Linked DNA regions of Drosophila melanogaster. The protein of the gene in region 3 interacts with the protein of the main gene of each other region in a pairwise test. Each region holds a gene or a part of one and is shown on either strand. Other genes may lie near its edges.

Region 1 (5,592 bases), on a different chromosome or scaffold from region 3:
GCAGAAGCAAAAATTTGTAAAATTTTTTCGACAGCAGAACCTTGTAAACTAAGCTAAGGACATAAATAAACCTTTTGTAATTTGTTGTAAAAAGAAAGGAAAGAATGAAAGAAGGAAGGATGGCGGAAATTAAAAGGCATGACATGTGCTAGAGCTGGCGTCAAGTAAAACTATAAATTATATATAAATATAAATATATATTAAAGCATATACATACATATAAATATAAATAAACAGTAATTAATTAATTACGATAATATTTTGTAGTTACACACTCGAACACACGGAGAAATTCAAATATACAAACACAGAGCGAGACCTTTAGTTTTGTAAACCGCGAGCGATTGGCACAAGTTAAATAACTACAATTTGGACAGCATTGCATTCGAGCATTTGATTTAACAATGCATTAGATTTTTATGTTTATTATTATTATACAAAATACGATTAATGCTAATTTCTTTGTGAAAAAAATAAAACAAGTTTATTATGTAGCAAAAAGAAAACGTTTTATTTCTCAATTCGAACCGATTTAATTGTCTCTTCCTCACACCAAAATGCACACATCCACACATAGTTTCAACTGATTGGCTTCAATGGAAGGCTGCGATGACTACAAAACTGAAATCAAAATTGATATTAATACGGCATGCAATTAACGAGAATAGCATTACATTGAAAATAAATATAGATAAATAATATACACGTACCATAACCTCTATAGCCCTTCCAAATCTGCAGAAAATGGCACAACAACCAAAAATGAAAGCGCAAGTTCGAGGCATTTTATACGGCGCATTTTTTATATATGAGCAGGCTAGCTGTCTATATGATATTACCCAAAAATGGTCGACTTTTATAAATGAGCCAGTAAGTAAACAAGACATATTTTTTTATAAGCCTTGGCAAGCTAAACTTTTACCAGGCCGTACATTTTAAAAAAAATTATACATACTTAAAAGCAAGAATACTAAAACCCTATGCCCGAACTCCTAAATAAAGTCGAATACAACAGCAAAATCCATACCATACCATTTTCAACTAGTAGAATTTTTCCAAAGTGTAGAAATGTAAACCTTTATATAAATATATAGATTTGTAATTGAACTCTCTAGTTGAGGTAAAAACACTTCTATACAATATAAATAAACTCCCAAGTCGGTCGTTTCTTGAAGCTCGACATTTGGAATGAACTGGATAAAGTAGTAAAACTCATGTAGAAACACAGCAGTAAGCTAAAACCAAACTAAAAGTATAAAATATAGATAAACTGTATATAGGGAATACCAGGCAGGCAAACCACTTCAACTGAAAGCTAATCTGCAGGCTTGGGTAGGTGGAGGGTCCGACTATAAAGATGTCTTCACCCAAAAAGTTTGTTTCAAAATGTGCTATTAAACTACAGATTTCGATCATTTAAGTCTTACTTTGGTTTCCTTAGATTTCGATCGTCCACTTCACTTGGTGCAGTTTAAGAGCCCACTATTGACCAAAGCTTGTACTCCATTGTATTTTGAATGCCTACCCCCAAACTAAGCCACACAGAACGGCAGAAACGAGAACATAAAGTAATGAACAGAAAACTTGAATTCAATTATGAATGATATTAAATGAGAAAAACATAAAAACTTATTAGCCACATATGTACGTACGAAGGATGAACATAACTAATGAACAAACTTGTAACTAAATACTTCTACATATTGAATAAAAAGAATGATATTAAAAGGTAAAATTTTTGACAAATAAGAATCAGGTTGGTACATATATGGTGTTACATACAAAAACTTATTTATTTCAATTAGGGCAGTGACAGTTTTTTTATTTGACCAATATGTCTGCGTAGTTCCCCACCCTATCCGCCATCTGTATTTGCTCCTGTTCGCTGGCGAATGAATGATGCACTGCCTCCAAGGTCAAATCGATGCATTGTTCACGGGTTAGACCGAAAGTTTCCGCAGCAATCAGAAACTCCTTTGTCAAAGTGGTATCAAAAACGCCACTGTCGTCCGTGCAGATAACCTTGGGTGCATCTGCCTCCATGATTCTTTTCAAGTGGTGCTCCTCCAAGCTGGGCACTGTTCCCGACTTAACATTACTAGTGAGGCAGCATTCAATGGCAATATTTCGTTGTTTAAGCTGCCCAATGTCCTCGGGAGTAAGAAAAGTTCCATGTCCACAGCGGGACATTCCAAAGTGCAGCATTTCCTTTACCTCCGATGGATTCTCGATCTCGGCGCAGTGTATAGCTAACTTCAGACCCTTATCCCGGGCCTGTGCAAGAATAGGAGCAAAGTCGGAAAACCGCCCCTTCCCTGGATTACCGCTAAGATCGATGCCTAAGATAAGATTTGGATGAGCCCGTGCCAACTCCACAGCCAGGGAAACTGTTTCCTCAGCCACGTCCACTGGTTCCGCTCGATTGATGGAGGGCAGTAGCTTGACTGTTATCTCTGGATACGTTTCGCTAGCTGCCTTAATTGCATCGATCACGATCTGCAGGTAGTCCCTGCGTGAATAGTTCTCGTTTGCCTTAGGAGTGGTCCTCATTTCCACATACTGGACGTTGTCCTCAGCGAAATCTCGAATCGCCAACTCCGTGGCAAATCGCAGACCCTCCCGGGTGGAGGTCAACTCGTGCACAAATGCAAACTTCTCGAAGCATGCATCCATATCCTTTTCAAATCGGCTGAAGTGCGCGCACAACTTCAGGAAATCTTTACAAGAGGTTCCATACAATCGCTCGCCAAGATCACATAGGCTTTTGATGCCCAAGGAACCGTTGAGGTGAGCATGGAGCTCTACTTTGGGCAGACCTTTAAGAAACTGCTCCATTTGTAGTTTAACAATAATAACAATACATTATGAGAAACAGTGATGCTAAATGTGGAATCGATTTTCAAATATTCGTAATTATTCGGAAAAAACGCTAAAAACGCTAATCTTCCATCACTGTAAACATGTTATCGATTACAGTACGGAGAAAAATCAAAAACACAGCCAACCCTGGCAGGCAAAACCAAGAAGAAGCACAATTTGTAAATATAGATTTTCTCTGCGAGTTTTCTTCGAATTTTCTTCGCCATGTCGGATGCCCACTTGGAAGCACCGCCTTCGGTGCGACTAACCAACGATGACTTCCGCAAGCTGCTAGCGACGCCCCGAGCTCCTCCTCCTGGCTCCGGGACGAGCAGCACCTCCGCTGGAGGATCTCTGGCCACTGCTACCTTTGCCACGCCCTCCACCGCCCCCGGCACGACAGGATTGAGTGGCGAAAAGAAGAAGGGTCAGAGCAGCAGCGAGCGGAATGATCTGCGTCGCAAGAAAAAGAACTTCTATGCGGCGCTCAAGAAGCAGGAGGATGTGAAGCTGCAAGAGCTGTCCGAGAAGTACAGGGACCGAGCACGAGAACGACGCGATGGTGCCAATCCAGATTACGTGAACGTGAGCACGCCGGGACACGGAAGCAGCACCAATGCGTATCGAGCTGTAGCGCCAGATATGAAATCCGGAATCGATGCCCAGGAGCGAAGAAGACGTATCATTCAGGAGTCCAAGTTCTTGGGTGGAGACATCCAGCATACGCATTTGGTGAAGGGTCTTGATTACGCCCTTCTGCAAAAAGTGCGCTCCGAGCTGCACTCGAAGGAAGCGGAAGAGGAGGAGATTGCCGCCGCTGTGGCAAGGGAAAAGCTCGCCGAAGCAGCTGCCGCCGCTGAGCAATTGGAAGCGGAACGCCGCGAGTCGGAGGATATTAATGCAATCAATGGTGCACTAGCGCGCAATATTTACAATCTAGTGCAGGCAAGGCGTTCGAAAGAAGTTCCCCGCAATGAGCTATTTGCTCCAGGACGGATGGCCTATGTGATCGACCTGGATGACGAGCTAGGGGAGTCGGATATTCCAACCACACTGAAGCGCTCCAAGTTCGAGGTGCCGGTGTCACAAGAGGATGTTGCCACGCTGACCACCAATGACATTGTGATCAACAAGCTGTCCCAAATCCTGAGCTATCTACGTGCCGGTGGTCGCAACAAGAAGAACAAAAAGCGCGACAAGGACAAACCGCTGTTCTACGAAAAGGAGGTGGAAAATCTTCGTGGGTCGTCTAGCAATGGTGGCTCCAGTCGGCACGCCACCTCGTCCTCATCGAACATGGGAGGGAAATCAGCTCCCTTGGGCGATAATATCTACGACGATATAGGGGACTACCAACCTTCTGCCACGCGACCTGAGCGAAACCGCCAGGAGCAAGGCAAGTCCGCCCCGTCCTACTTTGGAGACGGCCCGCCGGAGGCATCAGAGGAGCCGATAATATCCAGTATTCCCCCGCCACCCAAGATATCGAAGGCCATGGCCGCACGGTTCGCTGAACCCGAGGGATACGCAGAATGCTATCCCGGGCTGGAGGAGATGAACGACGCCATCGACGACTCGGACGATGAGGTGGATTACACCAAGATGGATTTGGGCAATAAAAAGGGGCCCATTGGACGCTGGGACTTTGACACGCAGGAGGAGTACTCCGACTACATGAGCACGAAGGAGGCGCTGCCCAAGGCAGCCTTCCAGTACGGGGTCAAGATGCAGGACGGTCGCAAGACGCGCAAGAACAAGACGGAGAAGAACGAGAAGGCCGAGCTCGATAGGGAGTGGCAAAAGATTCAGGTATGTATATCCCAAAGGATTCGTCGATGATCAATACAAAATATTTATTTTTCTTTGCCATTTAGACAATCATTCAAAAGCGAAAACTGCCAAAGGACGGTGGAGGCGGCGGTGCTGGTGGCGATGAACCCGATTACAAATCCGCAAAGTACTAGAAATTCTTGAAACATTATTCTATATTTGTAATGTAATTCTGTAAAACATTAAATATAAGTATGCTCGTACTTGTATTAATCTTACATGCTCTCAAATATATTTTAGCAACGTTATCACTAATTTAACTGCTACTGGAGTTGGGAACTAAGGGGAGGGTCCTTAGGGAGCTTGGCAGGTTGACTTATCGACTATGTGCGGCAATAGCGCTGGTACAGTGGGATTCAGAACTGTAAGACCGCTGGCGCAACGCGAGTTTAATTTCCATCGAGTAAGGCCAAATGTTGGGGAACTTTAAAACGGGTTCGACAATCAAATAAAATCGATCTCTTTATTTTGCATTGCATTGCTCTTACAGTCCCGAAACGCACTGCTTGTGATTCTCAGTTGGTGTGCGAGCTGCATCTACTTAAGCTGGATGGGTGCACCTAGTGCTGCTCTCTAACATGTAACGTTTCCTGCATGCTTAGAAATATGACACTGATTAAATGTAATTACCTTCGCGGGAATGCTATTCTTAATCACTACGCTAAGTCCGAGTGTGAGGATGGTGGGGCGACTTGTATAAAATGGGTATCGGTAAAGTTTGTATCTTTCAGCTTCGGAAAACCGAAGCTCAGCCCTTTACACTGCCAAGAGTGGTTTGAGGAAATGGGGAAAACAAAGCCGGAAATGATTAAATAGTAGAATTTGTTTCTGGTTACCTAGCTTGAAAATATTGCAGCGATTTCCCACCTAAACATGTCATTAGAATTTATAAAAGTATTAAAA
Region 2 (4,382 bases), on a different chromosome or scaffold from region 3:
TTGCCGTTGCCGTGGCCGACTGTTTATTTGCTTTTGTGTATTCGCGAAACATTTTAAAAATTTATCACAATGTTAAATAATTAACAACACAAGTGAGCGCACACTCACTCAGTCGCGCCGTCTCTTTCTCCTCAGCTGTTGCTCTCTCGCTCGACGACAATGAGCTAAAGCATCATCATCGCCACCGGTTTCTTTAAACTTTTTTTTTTTTTGCTTTTTTGTTATTGTTTGCTCAACATTTAAGCGAATTCCTGCTGCTTCCTGAGTACTTATTTCTTTAATATATTCAGCATTTTATGAAAATTTGTCAAAATATAAAAAAAAAGAGAAGCAGGGAATCTTTTCAATCAATTCAAACACACTTTTGTGAAAATTCCACCGCGAGAGAGTAGAACTTGAACTTGAGACAATGCAATGCAATGCAAACTATTTGTTTATAATAAAGACAAAGAGCGCTCTCGCTGCCGGGCAATGCGGCGTATGCGTAATGTCTGTTGAGCGAATTAGACGATGGCCGGCGAAATCGAGATGAGTGTCATACTTTTACATAATTGCATGAAACAAATGCTGATTCTGCACTGATATTACGTCCTATAAATCGCCAATGCCACGTGAGCCGGTTTTGAACTTCAGCCAACAACGGGAAACAAGGAAAAACCAAAGGCTTGGGGGGGGGGGGGGTAGGGCTGAAAAAAAAGTATGGAAAAAACAGAAATGCCATTGCCACGTGCCGTTTGACCTTTCCCCATTGGTCGCCCGGCGAATGCGATGAACCTCAAGCTCGGCGCTCGCAAATGAGACATTTCAAAATAATCGCAACCAGAAATACACCAACAACAAGTATAGCAGTCGTGGCAGAAAATACCAGTGTCGCCTCCGTTTGGGAATCCTTCAGCCGAAGGCGAAAAAAGTCGCATCAAAAGGTCCTATTGATTTAAAAGGCAAGCAGCTCAAGGCAAGGTCTAAAATGTTGTTGATTACGAGTGTCGCCCATTAAATAAGGGCCCTGAAACAATGTCAAGAATTTCAGCAATATTTGTCTGCAAATCGCAATGCATGGCCATCGAGAAAAGCATTTGCTCCGTAATACTTTTTCAAAACTAATGGTATTTGCATTTAAATTGGATTGGATAATACTTTGTAGGTATATCTACTTTTGAAACTATTCCACTTGATTTAAAGATATTTCTTTATTGTTTTGCAAGCCTATTCAAGTTATAGAACAAATACAAATTTTTGGGATATTATCTATGTGAAAAAGTGAAAAAAAAACTAATCCAAAAGTTGCTGTATATTAATCTACATGCTACCTTTCCACAACAGCTTATTTTCAATTTCCATTTTAGCGTACTGCTCCCTCAGTTCTTCGAGTTCCTTTGAGTTCCTAGCAGCCAAGCGATACAATTGGGCATTTAGGCCAACGATTCTTTCCCTTAGAGCATTCACTGTATATTGGCTAAGACGTTCTGGCCGAAAGACATCCTCCTTAACGGTGGCCACAAAATGCCACATATCCTGAAGCTCTCCACGCTTTTCGCTGCTATATAGCTTAAGTTTTTCATGGAGCACAAGTTTCTCCTGTTCGATTTCGTTGATCAGACCTATTAGATCTGCCGTGGAGGAACTGTTGGGTCGTGGATTTCGACCAGTTTCCGGCTCTTGGCAAGACTCGGTCTTTGAATCTGTGCCCTCATCATCTTTGAGTATGAAATTATTGGGATTCAGCTTGACTTGATTGCATTCGAGATATTTTTGCTGCGCCTTCAGGCGCGTCAATTCACACAGAATGGCGGTAGGTGTTAGTTTTGCCGCCCTGATCTTGGGCGGAATTTTAACTTGATTCCGTTTACGAGCGGGTTTTTCCGGCGGTTGAGCCCTTGGAGCCGTTGGCTTTTGTTCATCGTCTTTTGGATTTTCCATTGGGGCTTCGGTAGCATGTGATTGTTGCACAACATCCAAGGAGAGAGTCGTTGCAACTTCTGCAGCGCTCGTTTGGTTGTTCTTATTTACACGCGGTAATCAAACGTGTTGCCAGCACACCCAACCACCCACCCACTCCTTCCACGTGTTTAATCGATATGCAACCTTTCCACCCCCCTCGATTTTTCCGGCTGCTGTGCCAACAATTCTATGCTTCTGCCGGGGGTCAGTAAACTTTATTTGGCTTGGCTGGATTTTACAATTTTCCAAACGGCAGCGGTAACTTTCAGTGGAAATGGAAAATCGATTAGTACAATTACTGTTTCCATGTCATGGCCTACTTAATTGCCCATGGAAATGGGACAAACGGGGTCGTGGCTTGAAGACCACTTTCGTGGCTAACTAATTTCTAATCAGTACTTGTGGGAGACCGGGAAAATCCACCTGCTAGCCAAAAACTCAAGTGACGATCAAATGTTTGGCGAGCTAATCAAGTTTCAATGGACTAACAAAAGTATAAAGTAAAAGTAGGAAATACAACAGTGAGCCTTGCTTTAGTGGAACTAATATATTAAATCACAATCTACAATCAATGAAATCAAAGCTAAGAAGGTTTATATATTATGCAAAAATGTTCGTTATATTTAAGATTCACTGTTAACTAACGAAATTCGTTTATATTTAAATTGCCTTTTTTTTTTATGTACGGCTAAAATTGCTGGAATTACAAAAGTGCTTGGTATGGAAGTTTGACTGTTTGTGCGGATGAAATGTTGATTTATTATTTGTTTTGCTATCGCCTGCAAAGTCAAATCGGGCAGCATTAACTTGGCGCGTGCTGTTTGTCTTCTGTCTCCCTCCCACCCACCAGCCACAACCCACTTGCGCCCACACCACCCACTCCGCTGTGCGACAGAGACAGAGAGCGAACGCACGTGACTGATTTGCGAATTTACTTTTCTTGCGATGACAAAACATCGTGGATGAAAAATCAGCAGAAGAAGCAACTCCACTGATAGCATTTGTGCTTATCATTGGAATGTATGTATGTATGCGTATTTTTTTTTTTTGCTGCAGATAGCATAGTTTTGTTAGTATCAAAAGCATACAAATATGAACGTGGAAATGCAAAGGAAAGGCAAAAGGTCGACCTTAGATTTAGTGCGCATAATTTTTTGGGTTTTGTAAACACACACACACACAGTAGAAATATGATAAAAACCGCAGACACACGAATGGTGAGCTGCAAAAAGCCGCGAAATTGTTAATAAAAAGGTAAATAAAAATTGTTAAACGATTTCAGCCACCCATCTCGCTCGCTCATCATCTCCGTCCCGCTTGCACTCGCTTCTTTTCGGTCTGACGCGTGTTAGATGTTCAAACATGTTTTCGGTCTGCTGGCCAAAAGGCAACGCTCAGACGGCAGCTTAAATATTTGCCCATAGCGAAAGATCAATCAACAAATGTGAGCGAGACGGTGTGAATTGACCAGAAAGAGACGGGTAGAGCATAGGGCTGCACAGAGAGAAATAATATCGACATATAAATAATGAAATGTATAGTAGCATACAGTTTAAACAGTTTAAAAACTCACATTTGCAATGCGGTTTTTCATCTTAACTTGGAATGAAATTTAAAAAATATTTTATTTAAGTTCCCCTGCTTTTCTCTATGTAAAAACAAACACGAGTGGTATATAGAGTGTCTACGCTGCATGGCTGGTGCTTAATTGCATCAATTGGAGCATTAAAACAGTTGCCAAGGCAACTACAGAAAAATTCAATTAAACTAAAACTTGCCAATTGAGTGCAAACACATTCCGCACACAAAGAAAGTAAACTGAAATTCAATTTGAAAAACGGCACATGAAAGCGATCAAGAGAGCGTAGAACTCTAAACAAAGAAAGAAATCAATTAATACTATTTATATTGGCTAAGAAATGATAAAACTGTTTATTTCAGAGTCATTTCCCCCGCAGATTTTCACTAGAGGAAATCATGTAAGCTAGGCTATGATTTGCTTTTACGATACGCTGATCAAAGTACGTATCGCACACTTTCTTATCGATGGGTTCTGCAGTTCCTTCGGTTTAAACAAATAATCATAATTCGAATGTGTGTGTGTGTACCCACAGTTGTGTGTACAAGTGAACTTTTGCCATTTTTCCATTGATAATAGTGAATTATTGGCAAAATGCGCTTAGGAGCGATAAGCCATGGGCTCTAAGGCCATACACCATACGTAAATAAATTCATTTGTATTCAGATCCTAACGTACTCATGTTTTACCAACGCACAGATATAGCTATACTATATAGAATGAGTACACATATTGAGTGGACATGGCAGAAATAAGATAAGTGGCCACCATTGGACCTTGAAGTTGTCGAACAGCTGTGCGCTCTTATCAGGGGTAACAAAATTTCGTTACAGTCAACAAACAATTCGCCAGATCGAGGGAA
Region 3 (4,914 bases):
GCACTGATTTGGTGTGGACAACCAGCTGCTGCGAGTGTGTGTGTGGGAGGAGATCGCCCTTATCCTCAGCCTCGGGATCCGACATATAGGCGCCCAGGCGCGCCTGCAGAAGGGCCTTCTGCCGCATCAATTCCTCCAAATTAAGCTCGTCTTCAATAATAGACAAAATAATAGGACTGGCGGCATCGGCGGGCCTAAAATCAAGAAAGATAAGTGCGAACACCATATGAATTACGAAATCGCTCCCCTATTTTATTCCACAATACTTACACATCGCTTTCGCTGCTTGAACTGGCCACCTCCAGGACAGGCAGCATCTTATTCTGAATAGTTTTGGTGATTTCTTCAACAAGGCTGCTCGGATCCGTCGGAAGCAGGGGTTTGCCGACACGGAAATCGGCTCCATTCCGGCTGGCCTTCTGCATGATTTCTGTGAACTTGCTGCTCAGCCCGCAATTTTGTGATAGCTTTAACTTTGCGTTTTCCGGGGCGTCCGATTCGTTTGTGGATTCGCTTGTTCGGTGGGGGCGCTTTTTTGCCTTCTTCTGCTTCTTGTGGACATGCCTGTCCTTCTCGGTCTTGCCAGTCGAGGATTTTTTATGTTTTTTGTGCTTTTTAGCCTTTTTGTGCTTGGCCCGACGCTCTTCGGTCTCGCTGTTGTTGCTGGAGTCGTAGCTATTCGGTACAAGAGGGGAGCAGCCCAGGTCAATACACACACGTGCGGTCGGCTTAGTAAAATTAACCTACCTTTTGTCGTCAGCCATTATTTGATTGTTTAACAATGTAAACTGCAGATGCGCGCACACTGTGCGTTCATAAGGTGTGCGGTAATTCTGCAGATGGCTAATGAAACTTGTAATTTTCCTCTTATTGTATTCTTCCTCTTCGTAGCTTTTTTAGTGTGACTGCACGCCGGACAAAAGTAAATACGTTTTAAAAATACCTCCTGGGATTTCGGAATTATTTCTAGTATATATGCAAGTAAAATAAAAATATATTAAAATTAAATTTTATAACCCTTAAATATCGTCTTTGGCGCAAGTCTAAATTGGAAATAAAAACGAAGGAATTTCGAAACAACAGTTGAATTTGTATATTATAGTTCATGACATTTTATTTTTTTGTTTTTATTGTACATGCTAGCGCTTCTAACCTAATTGGCAACAGCTACATCCACGTCGTGCTCATCTTTGTCGATGCTTAGCTCAAGCACCGTGTCCTCTTCTACGGACATGGCTTTAGAGTCCTCAGTAGAGACTGAGTGATATTTGGGCTCGCCGCGGGCTCCGTCGAACTTTGTGGGAGTGCTATTGTTGAGATCGTCGTCTTCATCGCTTACCTCCATGATCCCATTGTCGTCTAGGTCCGGCTCAGAGCGGGCATCGCAATCGCTGGACGAGGAGGATGCCGAGGATGAGCTGTCCTGGTCCAGCTGCTGTTCCAGCTCGTGAATCGTGTACATCAGCAAAGTGAAGTCATTGCGTCGTTTCTGAAACTTGCGCTCCATCTTTAGCTTCTTTTGCACCAAGTCGTCAATCTCCCTCCTAATGGTCTCAATATGTCGCTGTGTTTCACTGCGGTCCGGTTGGTCCTGGATGAGCGAGGCCAGCAGGTCGTACTCCATCTTGTTCTTGCGAATCTGCTTGGCAGTGATTAGCTCTTTTTTACTGGATTCGATTTCCGCTTTAGCCAAAACAATACTTTCTTCGTGGTGTTCAACTAGTTGTGTGTAGTTGTCACGCTCACCGGCGATCATCTGCAGAGTTTGTACATTCTTTAACGCAGTGAGCTTGCACTGGGCGAATTGGGCCATCAGTCGGTCGTACATGATGGGACTGTAATTCGGAAAAGAGGAGATATGTACACCATGTTTTGAATACACACATATCCAATTTCTTACTTGCTGTCCAGCGAGTCACTGGCCCACTTCAAGAACTGTTTCAGCAACACTACTATTCTCCGATCCTCTCCAGTTCCATCCCCGTCAATCAGCAGGCGCTGCTTTATGATTTCTTCTGGAAGATCAGTTTAAATATCTATTCCCAAATGCGAAAATAAACAAAAACAACTTACCGTCATTCATCTCCACTAATTTCCGAACTAGCGTATCGGAGTGTGGCCGAAGCTGACACTGCTCCGACATACCACGCAGTACGGTCCTACTGTACTTGTCCTATCATTTTAATTTGGAGAAAGTATTGAATTATGCCTTACCCTTTATATCCCGCCCATAGCCAAGTGTAGTGCCGTACACTTTCGGACATCAGCGAATCCCATTAACTAAGTGCACTTCTTGCAGAATGTCGGAAACGTCAAGCGTCAACGTGGATGCGGACCGAGATTGCAGAAGGATTGAGGGCCTCCGACAGCGCTCACAACGCCTTGCTGCCCGCCTCCAGCAGATGCAGAGGGAAATGGAGTCTAATGCATCCAGCAAAGACCTATCGGCCAACAATGCCGTTATTCCGCTGCAGCCACTAATGCGCTGGGCGGAACCACGGCCACATCCCAACCAATCCCAACCATCTGCTCGGAGCAACAGCAGGCAGGCCATTCCTTACGGTGTGCCAGTATCCACGCCAGCGCCGGTAGCTATGCAATTGCCCTACCACGTAGCATTCGCCTCCTACCAGGCGACCATGCAGATTCCCTGCCTTCAGCCACTTTCGCATTTGCACGTCGTGTCTAGTCCCAGCCATCGGTTAATAGCGAAAAAGAAGTCGAAGCGGGCTCTTCGAAATGAGGTGGAAGCTCTTCAGGATATGGTCAAACATCTTTCACACCTCTCCCCAGATGTTAACGCGTATGCCTGCCAGCTGATACGTAAAAACGAGATCCTTTCTCAGCTCGAGTGGAGTCAGACCAGGTCAGAAGCACATCCGCAACAGGTTGGTTACCAGGGGCGGCATCGCCACGATTCTGAGGTCTCTGCTACAAACAATGGAAGTCATGTACAGCAGCAACCGAAACTAGGACGAAGGCAACGCAATAGCAAGAAAAACGATGGATCCGGTAGCAATGGGACCCAATCGCAAAAAACCGAACTAGAGGCCATGCGGTCGTACATAAACAAGATTGTCCAACGTCACGTGGGTATGGATCACCAGTTGTCGGAAGACTTGATTTTCAAAGGTAACTTCTCCGACCTGGAAGCGCATGCGCAGAGACTAGTTGCGGCGGGTTATGGGCGCATTGTAGAAGAGGAAATCCGGGTTAACCGCAAGAACAACAGACAGGCCTTTATAATCATGTCCACTGATCGAGAAGCACTCGAACGAGATGGCATCGTGCTCTTGCCAGTGGCTAGGCGCTATGCCTTCGATGGTGACAAAGTACGTGCATTCGTGCTAAACCCTGGTGCTCAGGGTAGTTCAAAGACAGCTGAGCCCTCGTCTGGTGAAATCTCTGGTGGGAAGCCCTCATTATCTCTTGGTAAGTTTATCGGCAAACTTATAATACTTTCGACTGATGATAATATCCTATAAAGCGGATGGTGAGGAGCTTTCGGACGATACCGAGTCCCAGGGCTCTGAGTCCGATACCGACAACGTGGTCGTGATATCGTCGGACAACTGCCCTAAAGCGTTCGTCATAGCAATAACTAAACGAACTGAGCTCCGCCAGATCGTGGGAACCATATCGTTTACGAACCCAACCAAACTCTGTGACGACCAGCTATTCTACAAATTCCGACCGTACGATTTGCGTGTCCCCATGGTCTACGTTCCGAAGGATGCCTGTGCCGCCCACATCGGAAACAAGCAGCAAATAGACGTGTCCGGCCTCTTATACCTTGCCCATATACTCGAGACAGATTGCAATGGGCACTGCATCGCTGAACTAATCCAGCCGGTTGGCCGCGTGGGTAATTTGGATGACGAACTTAAGGCAATTCTGTTTCATAACGGTCTCCGGGATATAAAGCCATTTGAGCAACGATTTATCGACATTTACTCCCAGCCGCCACCTCCGATAAGCCAAGAGGATCTGCGTCAACGAAAAGACTTAAGAAAGATGTGCATATTTACTATAGATCCGATGACTGCTCGCGATTTGGATGACGCCGTTTCTATAGAGAAGCTAGGCGACAACGAATATGAGATTGGCGTCCATATATCCGATGTTTCGCACTTCCTGATAGAGGACAATGAACTGGATAACATAGTGAAGGAACGCTCTACGTCTATTTATTTAGCCAACGAGGTAATCCACATGCTGCCTCAGTCTCTATGCATGCGATGTTCCCTGCTCCCTGGGCAAGACAAGTTTGCTTTTTCCGTCTTCTGGCGGATGAACGGGAAGGGAGTCATGCTGCAAAAGAAGCCAGAATTTTGCCGCACAGTCATTAACTCTTGCTCGCAATTTGCTTATGAACACGCTCAAAAGATCATCGACAACCCTAATGAACGGTTTACCGAGAACGACTTTCCGACCATCCTGAATGGATTTAATCCCGATGATATCAGAAATAGGGTGCTATGGCTGCACGACATTGCAAGCTCCATCCGTAAGACACGTTTAGACAATGGCGCACTCACAATTAACAATGCCAAGCTACGCTTCCTGCTCGATCCAATTACTGGCGAGCCGTTGTCTTTTGAAGTGGAGAAACAGCGAGAGGCTAACCGGCTGATTGAAGAGTTTATGCTCCTGGCCAACCAGGCAGTCGCCCGCTTTATACACGACTCCTTTCCGGATATCGCTGTACTGCGTAACCACCCTCCGCCACTTATTAAGTCCCTTAAGGCTTTAAGGGAAAAGCTGCTTGCTCTGGGATTCGAATTGGACTATAGCTCGTCTAAGGCGCTCCAGGAGAGCATGGTGCGGTTGTGCAATGAGGCGCCCAATCCTGTCGCAATGAATGCCTGCCTAAGTCAGCTTTTGATGAAACCAATGGCCCGTGCAACGTGAGTG
Region 4 (6,117 bases), on a different chromosome or scaffold from region 3:
CGGCGGCAGTTCGGTCACCGGCGAGGTGAGCCACGGCCTCCACTTCGAGATGACGCTCGTCCAGGTCTATCGGGTGGCGCTCAGTGCAGGCAAGGCGCATCGCGACCACAAGCACCACCATGTCCACCACTTTGATCACGAGGGCCAGGAGGTCTCCAGCACCACTCGTGCCCCACCCTCGGTAAGTTCGTAACCAGTGCCCACGGAGACAATATAACACGCCAGACCTCCATTCAGATTAATCGTCCTCAACCCATGCACACGCTGCTCGCCAGTGGCCAGATCCCGACCCGGGTGCGCATCAACTTGGCCAATCCGCCGCCGACTGCAAGTGGTGCTCCCGCTCCTGGCGCGGCCGGAGCTCCGACCGATTCCGCCCAGCAGGCCATCACCATCAACACAAATTTTGTGAACGGACAGATAAACGCGGGATCGCGACTGGTGGCCCAGCAACTCCTTGGCCTCTCGCCGCCGAGCGGATTGCAGCCTAGTGGCGGTGGCAAACGCTTCCAAATGCTAAGTAACTCAGCCAACGTGCAGTTCATCGACGAAACGGAGACCCACATCCAGTTCAAGAGGAACACCGACGCCACTAAGAAGGTTCAGAAGCGCGGCCTGGTGCTGCTGGACGATGGATCTGTGGTGGACGACGGTGTCGGTTCCGGAACGGATGGGAGCTTGATTTACAACGGTCTCGCCGACTTTGGCGGACAGCAATTTAAGCAGGATCTTACGCTCAAGATGAGCCTGGAGGAGGAGATCAGCACGCACGACCGAGAGCCCGCCGAGGAGGAGGTAAGGGCCGTGATGGCCATCTGTAGCAGCTGCCACACGGAGCCTTTCCAGGGTGCCATCGTGTTTTCGTGGAAGGATGTGCGCGAGCACATGAACAACGCCCTCAAGGGCCTCAGTGTGGGTCCATGTGGTAACTTCTAGTTGTTCCCAAAGTTCGGATAACATTCTAGTGTCCTAGGACCCCAGCTTAAGCTTTCCCAGCCCCACCCCATTATTTCCATATCTTTTTTTTTTCTATATATGTACGAATAAGTATTCGATTGGTTGGGCATCTTGTGCCACAATTGTCCATGTGGGAGTCAACGCTTTACTGTTGCCACCCATTTGGCCACCAAACAATCCTTGACTCGCTCATGGACACCAATCCATCCTGCTTCCCTAAGCCCTACATCCTCACCCTAGCAATTACGCGGTGATATTGAATAAAGGACTATTTAACTGATACCATCTAGCAGCACTTACCTTTGATTTGTGGATATGCTGGTGCTTGTAGTCCGAGTCGAACTCCGGCTCGCTGAAGTAGCTCTGATCCTGATCCCAATTGGCCTGCGCCTGCGGCAGGGGTTGGGGTATTCCAGGGCCGCCGGGCAGAATCTGGGGCGGGGCTGCCACCTCAGTGGACTCAAAGAGACGCAGCACGGAGCGATCCCTGATCTCGCGCAGATGCGAGCGCACGTCCTCCAGCTCGTAGAACATATCCTTGCTGGCATCGTGAATGTAAATCTTCACATTGGGCCCCTCCAGATATGACATGGTCAACTGGCGCGGAAACGAGCGTACGAACAGGGCGCGCACCGTATCAATCGAAGTGATCTCGTTGGGCAGCAGGGCGCGCTTCGTCTCCGAGCGGTACTGCAGAAAGACCAGGCCCAGCGGTCGTTCCAGAGTTTTCGAGGGCGTGCGTACCACGGGGAGCGAGGAGCGCTGCTTGCCGCCCCTCCGGAATCCGGTGCTGGCCGTTTCCACCTCCGACATGATGCCGGGATCGTCGTCGAACAGCGGTCCCTGGTTAACAGGCGCATAACCGCGCATCGGCTGGTTCTTTTTGTTCTTCTGCGCGCGCGTACTCATCTAAGAAGGGACAAGAATCAGAAACTGATGGTAGAAACGAGTTGAGATGGGAGATGGAGCTCACCTCCAGATCCATGGCCCGCTGTTGCTGGGGCGCCATCTGATGGGCGTGTGGATGCTGCGAGCCGTAGACCAGCATATCGCCGCCGAGCGTATGTCGTCGTGGATCGTCGCGTCGCATGGCTCGTCGTCTTTCGTCGCCACCTGGGGAAACACATAGACACTGAGGATGGGGCTACAGATCCGTGGACGTCTTTGGTCCTTAACATACCCTGTTCATTCGACGGAAGCCGTCCCGACTTTGCCTCATTCTGCCAGTCTTCTTCTGAAAGAGAGGGAGCTGGAGTTAGGCTCATTTCATTTCGCTTCCTTCCGATTTATGGATTCCGATTACTTACCGCCCTCTCTACCCTTGCGCTTCTTCTTCGACGAGGAGCTGCTGCTGCCGCCGACGCTCTGGTTGGAGGAGGCGCTCTTGTCCTTACTCTTCCAACGGATCAACATCCTGCAGCCGTTTGAGATGTGCGGAGCTCAGTGGCTATGTTGCAGCTGCAGAAAATGAGAGACAACGGGGCGTATGGGTAACGTGAAAATGTCCTTATTTTTTTGGTCTTTGTTTACGTTTGGTACCGGCAACAACACGCTAAACCGCACACACACAACATGCAACTTTGGTGTAGATAAACCATGTATCCTCGCACATTCTTTAACAGGGTGTGGTGGAATGGAGTGGAGCCTCGCAGTGGCAGTGCCAGTGCTCAATGCAAAAAGTATGCAACGGAGTGCGCAAACTCTGCTCTGCAACACGGAATGGAGCAAGAAAGCAGGACAGAGCGGAAGGCGTGACTGGAGCTGGATCTGGAACTGCATGCGGATCTGGATCGGGACCCCAGAAATGCGGCTGGCAGAACAGACAATAGTGTTGGCCGAATACAATTGTTCATCGCAGTTGCCATTAAGATGCCATTTGCTGAGAGAACACGAATCACTTTCGAATTTGTTTTGCATATGTAAACGTTTTTGGAGTTGGAAGTTGCTTTAAACAAGGCATGTCAAGTTATTTTGGCTGCATGTACATGTTTATCTCGAGCAAGAAATCCGAGGAAGGGGCACCAAAAGGAAACGGACGCAGAGATGGGTACACACGAAACATGGTATACTTTTCAGTGCAGCACTTCACGGGTTTTAGTATGCCTTTGCCTTTGCCAGTGCCAGTGCCTGGGAATATGTACACAGCCACCCACATTCACTGCCCATCGGCATTATTGCGGGCCACTAAAGGAATTTTTGATTAGTTTTAGGTGCGGTGCCCCGGCCCGTTTTTTCCCAGCCGCCATTAATTGTGTCAGTTGCGTCCAGTTTCCAGGGCACGAGTGCACATTAAACACGGTGGAGGGGAGCTCGTGTCTGTTGACTTTTCCACACACGTCAGCGGTCAGTTGGCTGGATTCCTTTGGGTTTTCATGGGGGATCTCGTCCTAGCTGTACCTTGTATACCTATGCACCTTTGGGGGTGTGTGGGCGGTTCACCGGCGATGTTTCTGGCATTTTCTCAAACCGCACTTGCCTTGCCGATTCAGGAAGGTTTCACAATTAACGGGTCTAGGTGCTCATAGCTCGAGGAGCTCACCGATTTAGCCGTGTCCTTAGGATAAAGATTCGATTCAATTCGCTTCGCTTTGCACTCGTCACTACACAGCTTTCTGGAGTCAGGACACGGCACTCGTCCACCGACGCAGCATAACGCCAGAAGAGCAGAAATATTTCTGGTATATCTACACCGGAAAGCGTTTCCGCCCTAGCCGAACGAGGACTGCGTGCTTGCACGGCGCATGCGTTACCAATCGAGTGTTCCCGGACCAGCGAAGTTCCCTGGCATCCAGCCGTCAGAGGTCCTGGCATCCCTGCATTCCGACGCTGCTCTGTTGTGTGTGTTTACCTGGTGCCGGGGCAATCGAGTAATTTTCTTGGCGGTTGAGCGCATGTGGCTATCGAATGGCTCCAATCGATTACTGGGCGGAAGGCCTTTAAAAACAGGTGACGAAACACATGCTTGTCCTGCGCCGGCTTGTTTATCCGGGAGTAGCCAGGATTCCAGCGGATGTCTGGGCCCGCAGCCACGCCCTGGTGGAGTTTCCCGGCCAGTGGCCTCGCTGTGAGCAGCACCAGTTTGAATCGGACATGCGGGTCATCAGGGACTTCATCACTGCGAAGGAGGAGCAACTACTGATGCGGGAAATCGAGCCTCACATCAGCCGCTTGCCGTACGAGTTGAGCCACTGTGATGACGTGGGTGGGTATATATAGAGACTATATAGTATCGGATTTCTGGCTAAACTTCTTAAACTTCGCAGGCAGATACCGCGAAGTTGAACGCCGAAAGTGGACTCCCCAAAACCAGGCCACGCTGGATCACGTCTCGTGAGTTTCCTTCGGTGAGCAGGTCATGCCCTTCGTGCACATCCTGGACTTGGCTGACTCTGGCGCGATCAAGCCGCACGTGGACAACACTCGAGTGAGTTTGGCCACAGAAGATGCAACTCGATTTCATTTTCATTTACGATTGTATTCGACAGTTTTGCGGCAACACCACTGCGGGCATTAGCATGCTCAGCGACTGAAGCGCGTGACCAAGGATCCCATGACTTTGTCAGCCACTCTGAGGATCTGCTCCTGCCGCAACTCTCGCTCTATATTAAGAGTGCCCTAGCGCGATACGAGTTCACCCACGAAATCCTGGCCAGAGATCAGTCGTGGTTCAAGGAGCGCTTGGTCGAAACGAACCTTGATGGCATACGCATAGTTTCCTTTTCTCACAGCTGGTGTACATGTATATATATATATATATACAATGAAAATTTATTCCGGTTTGGTGATCAGCTAATGTAATACAGACGGCGGACTGCGACGGATTACACGACGTGATTCAGCCATGTAATATATGATACACTAAATCAAATGTACATATACATAGTATATCTTAAGCTAGCTACTTGTACTTTATAAATATTGGGCTCACCTTTCTCACTCGCTTCAAATTTTCTACTCCCTCTTATAATCTTTTGAAATTTGTGTTTTTTGCTCAACAATGTATATGGGTTGATGCTTTTCTACTTTCATTTGTACGTTGTCGTCTCGTTTCATTTAAAGCTTAAAATATGAGAATGACAGAGACAGGGAGATTAATGGGCAACTGAGTGAGATGGAGAGAAGGTGCTTGGGAAAGGGGAAGGATACAAAAATCGACCGGACAAGGACTAGTCCTGGATTCAAGGATAACTGGGAAATAGTGATGTGTTGTCGCTAAACCTACGTTCATATTTGCACTTCTAGCCACTGCTAGTTAAAGTCTATGCCGTGCTTCCGGCTCGGGGAATGATATTATGGCGATGGGGACTCGGTTCTGGCGGGTCATCGGTCATCAGTCATCCAGCTCATCCCAGTTTTCGGCGCCGCGGCAGCTGCAGCGGCAAGGCAACAACGGAAGCAGACGAGGTCGGATTTGCTGCCATCACCGGAAGGGCAAGAGCCACTGGAGCTGCGAGTCCGCCGCCGACGTACTGCAGATGCTGCACCACCGAGAGCTGTGGCTGCTGCTGCTTGAGCAGCTTGGCGGCAGCGTGTGCCTCCGCCGCAGCCACCACGACGGGGTGCACCGGTTCGGTGCCGACTCCTCCGTTGACATGTGGACCGGTGCTTTCGCAATCGTCTTCGTCTGAGATCAGTGATATGCTGAGGTCGCTGGACAGTTTTAGGGAGATGGGCGTGGGCGGCGAGGGAGCCACCAAGGGCGCCACTTTGGCGCGCAATGCCGGTGACAGTTTCTGCAGCTGCTCCGGCATCAGGTCGTTCGTGTATTCCGGCACTCCACTAAAAGCCAGGCCTTCGCGTAGTTTGCTCAGCGAGAGTTCGTAAATACGGTTTGCGATGACCGTGTGAACGGTCGTCTCGTCCGGCAGCGTGGCTGTGATGCCTCCGCCCACGTCCACCTCCAGAAAACAGCCCGTTTCATTGCCGCCCTCTCCGCCTTCGGCGGTGGCGAATCCATTGCTGGCCGCCGTCGACGCTCGACACGGCTTGGGGTGACCTGACACCCGCGTCAGGCAGTTGGCAGTGGTGGAGGTGCGCGGCACCAACGAAACAGTTACCTCTTCGATGGTCTCCGACTGTGTGAGCGGTGCGAGCGGTGGCGGTGAGCGCATGGAGAGCTGGGAGCGCACTCTTGCCGTGCTGCTGGGTTCCTGCTCGTTG

The links.
Region 1: the proteins of thoc7 (region 3) and beag interact in a two-hybrid assay, tested with the Drosophila melanogaster proteins (one large-scale study listed by BioGRID).
Region 2: the proteins of thoc7 (region 3) and CG15071 interact in a two-hybrid assay, tested with the Drosophila melanogaster proteins (one large-scale study listed by BioGRID).
Region 4: the proteins of thoc7 (region 3) and CG32809 interact in a two-hybrid assay, tested with the Drosophila melanogaster proteins (one large-scale study listed by BioGRID).

What each region holds. Positions count from the first base shown.
Region 1 is NT_033777.3:9,062,482-9,068,073, reverse strand, and holds beag (beag), read left to right. Parts: upstream 1-2,995; 5' UTR 2,996-3,084; coding exon 3,085-4,668; intron 4,669-4,733; coding exon 4,734-4,823; 3' UTR 4,824-4,942; downstream 4,943-5,592. Other genes in the region: Ada (adenosine deaminase), read right to left, coding at 1,822-2,835.
Region 2 is NT_033778.4:18,694,172-18,698,553, reverse strand, and holds CG15071 (uncharacterized protein), read right to left. Parts: upstream 1,970-4,382; 5' UTR 1,921-1,969; coding exon 1,300-1,920; 3' UTR 1,209-1,299; downstream 1-1,208.
Region 3 is NT_037436.4:210,545-215,458, forward strand, and holds thoc7 (thoc7), read right to left. Parts: upstream 2,144-4,914; coding exon 2,074-2,143; intron 2,016-2,073; coding exon 1,901-2,015; intron 1,836-1,900; coding exon 1,154-1,835; 3' UTR 1,092-1,153; downstream 1-1,091. Other genes in the region: Prp4k (Pre-mRNA processing factor 4 kinase), read right to left, coding at 1-194, 271-675, 748-764; Dis3l2 (Dis3 like 3'-5' exoribonuclease 2), read left to right, coding at 2,206-2,240, 2,300-3,432, 3,488-4,907. UniProt on the Drosophila melanogaster protein: The THO complex is required for cell proliferation and for proper export of heat-shock mRNAs under heat stress.
Region 4 is NC_004354.4:1,688,943-1,695,059, forward strand, and holds the start of CG32809 (uncharacterized protein), read right to left. Parts: upstream 3,827-6,117; 5' UTR 3,497-3,826; exon of another isoform or gene 3,355-3,496; intron 2,416-3,354; 5' UTR 2,371-2,415; coding exon 2,265-2,370; intron 2,192-2,264; coding exon of another isoform or gene 2,189-2,191; coding exon 2,138-2,188; intron 2,071-2,137; coding exon 1,931-2,070; intron 1,867-1,930; coding exon 1,258-1,866; intron 1,246-1,257; exon of another isoform or gene 937-1,245; coding exon of another isoform or gene 238-936; intron 182-237; coding exon of another isoform or gene 1-181. Other genes in the region: b6, read left to right, coding at 1-181, 238-936; a6, read right to left, coding at 5,301-6,117.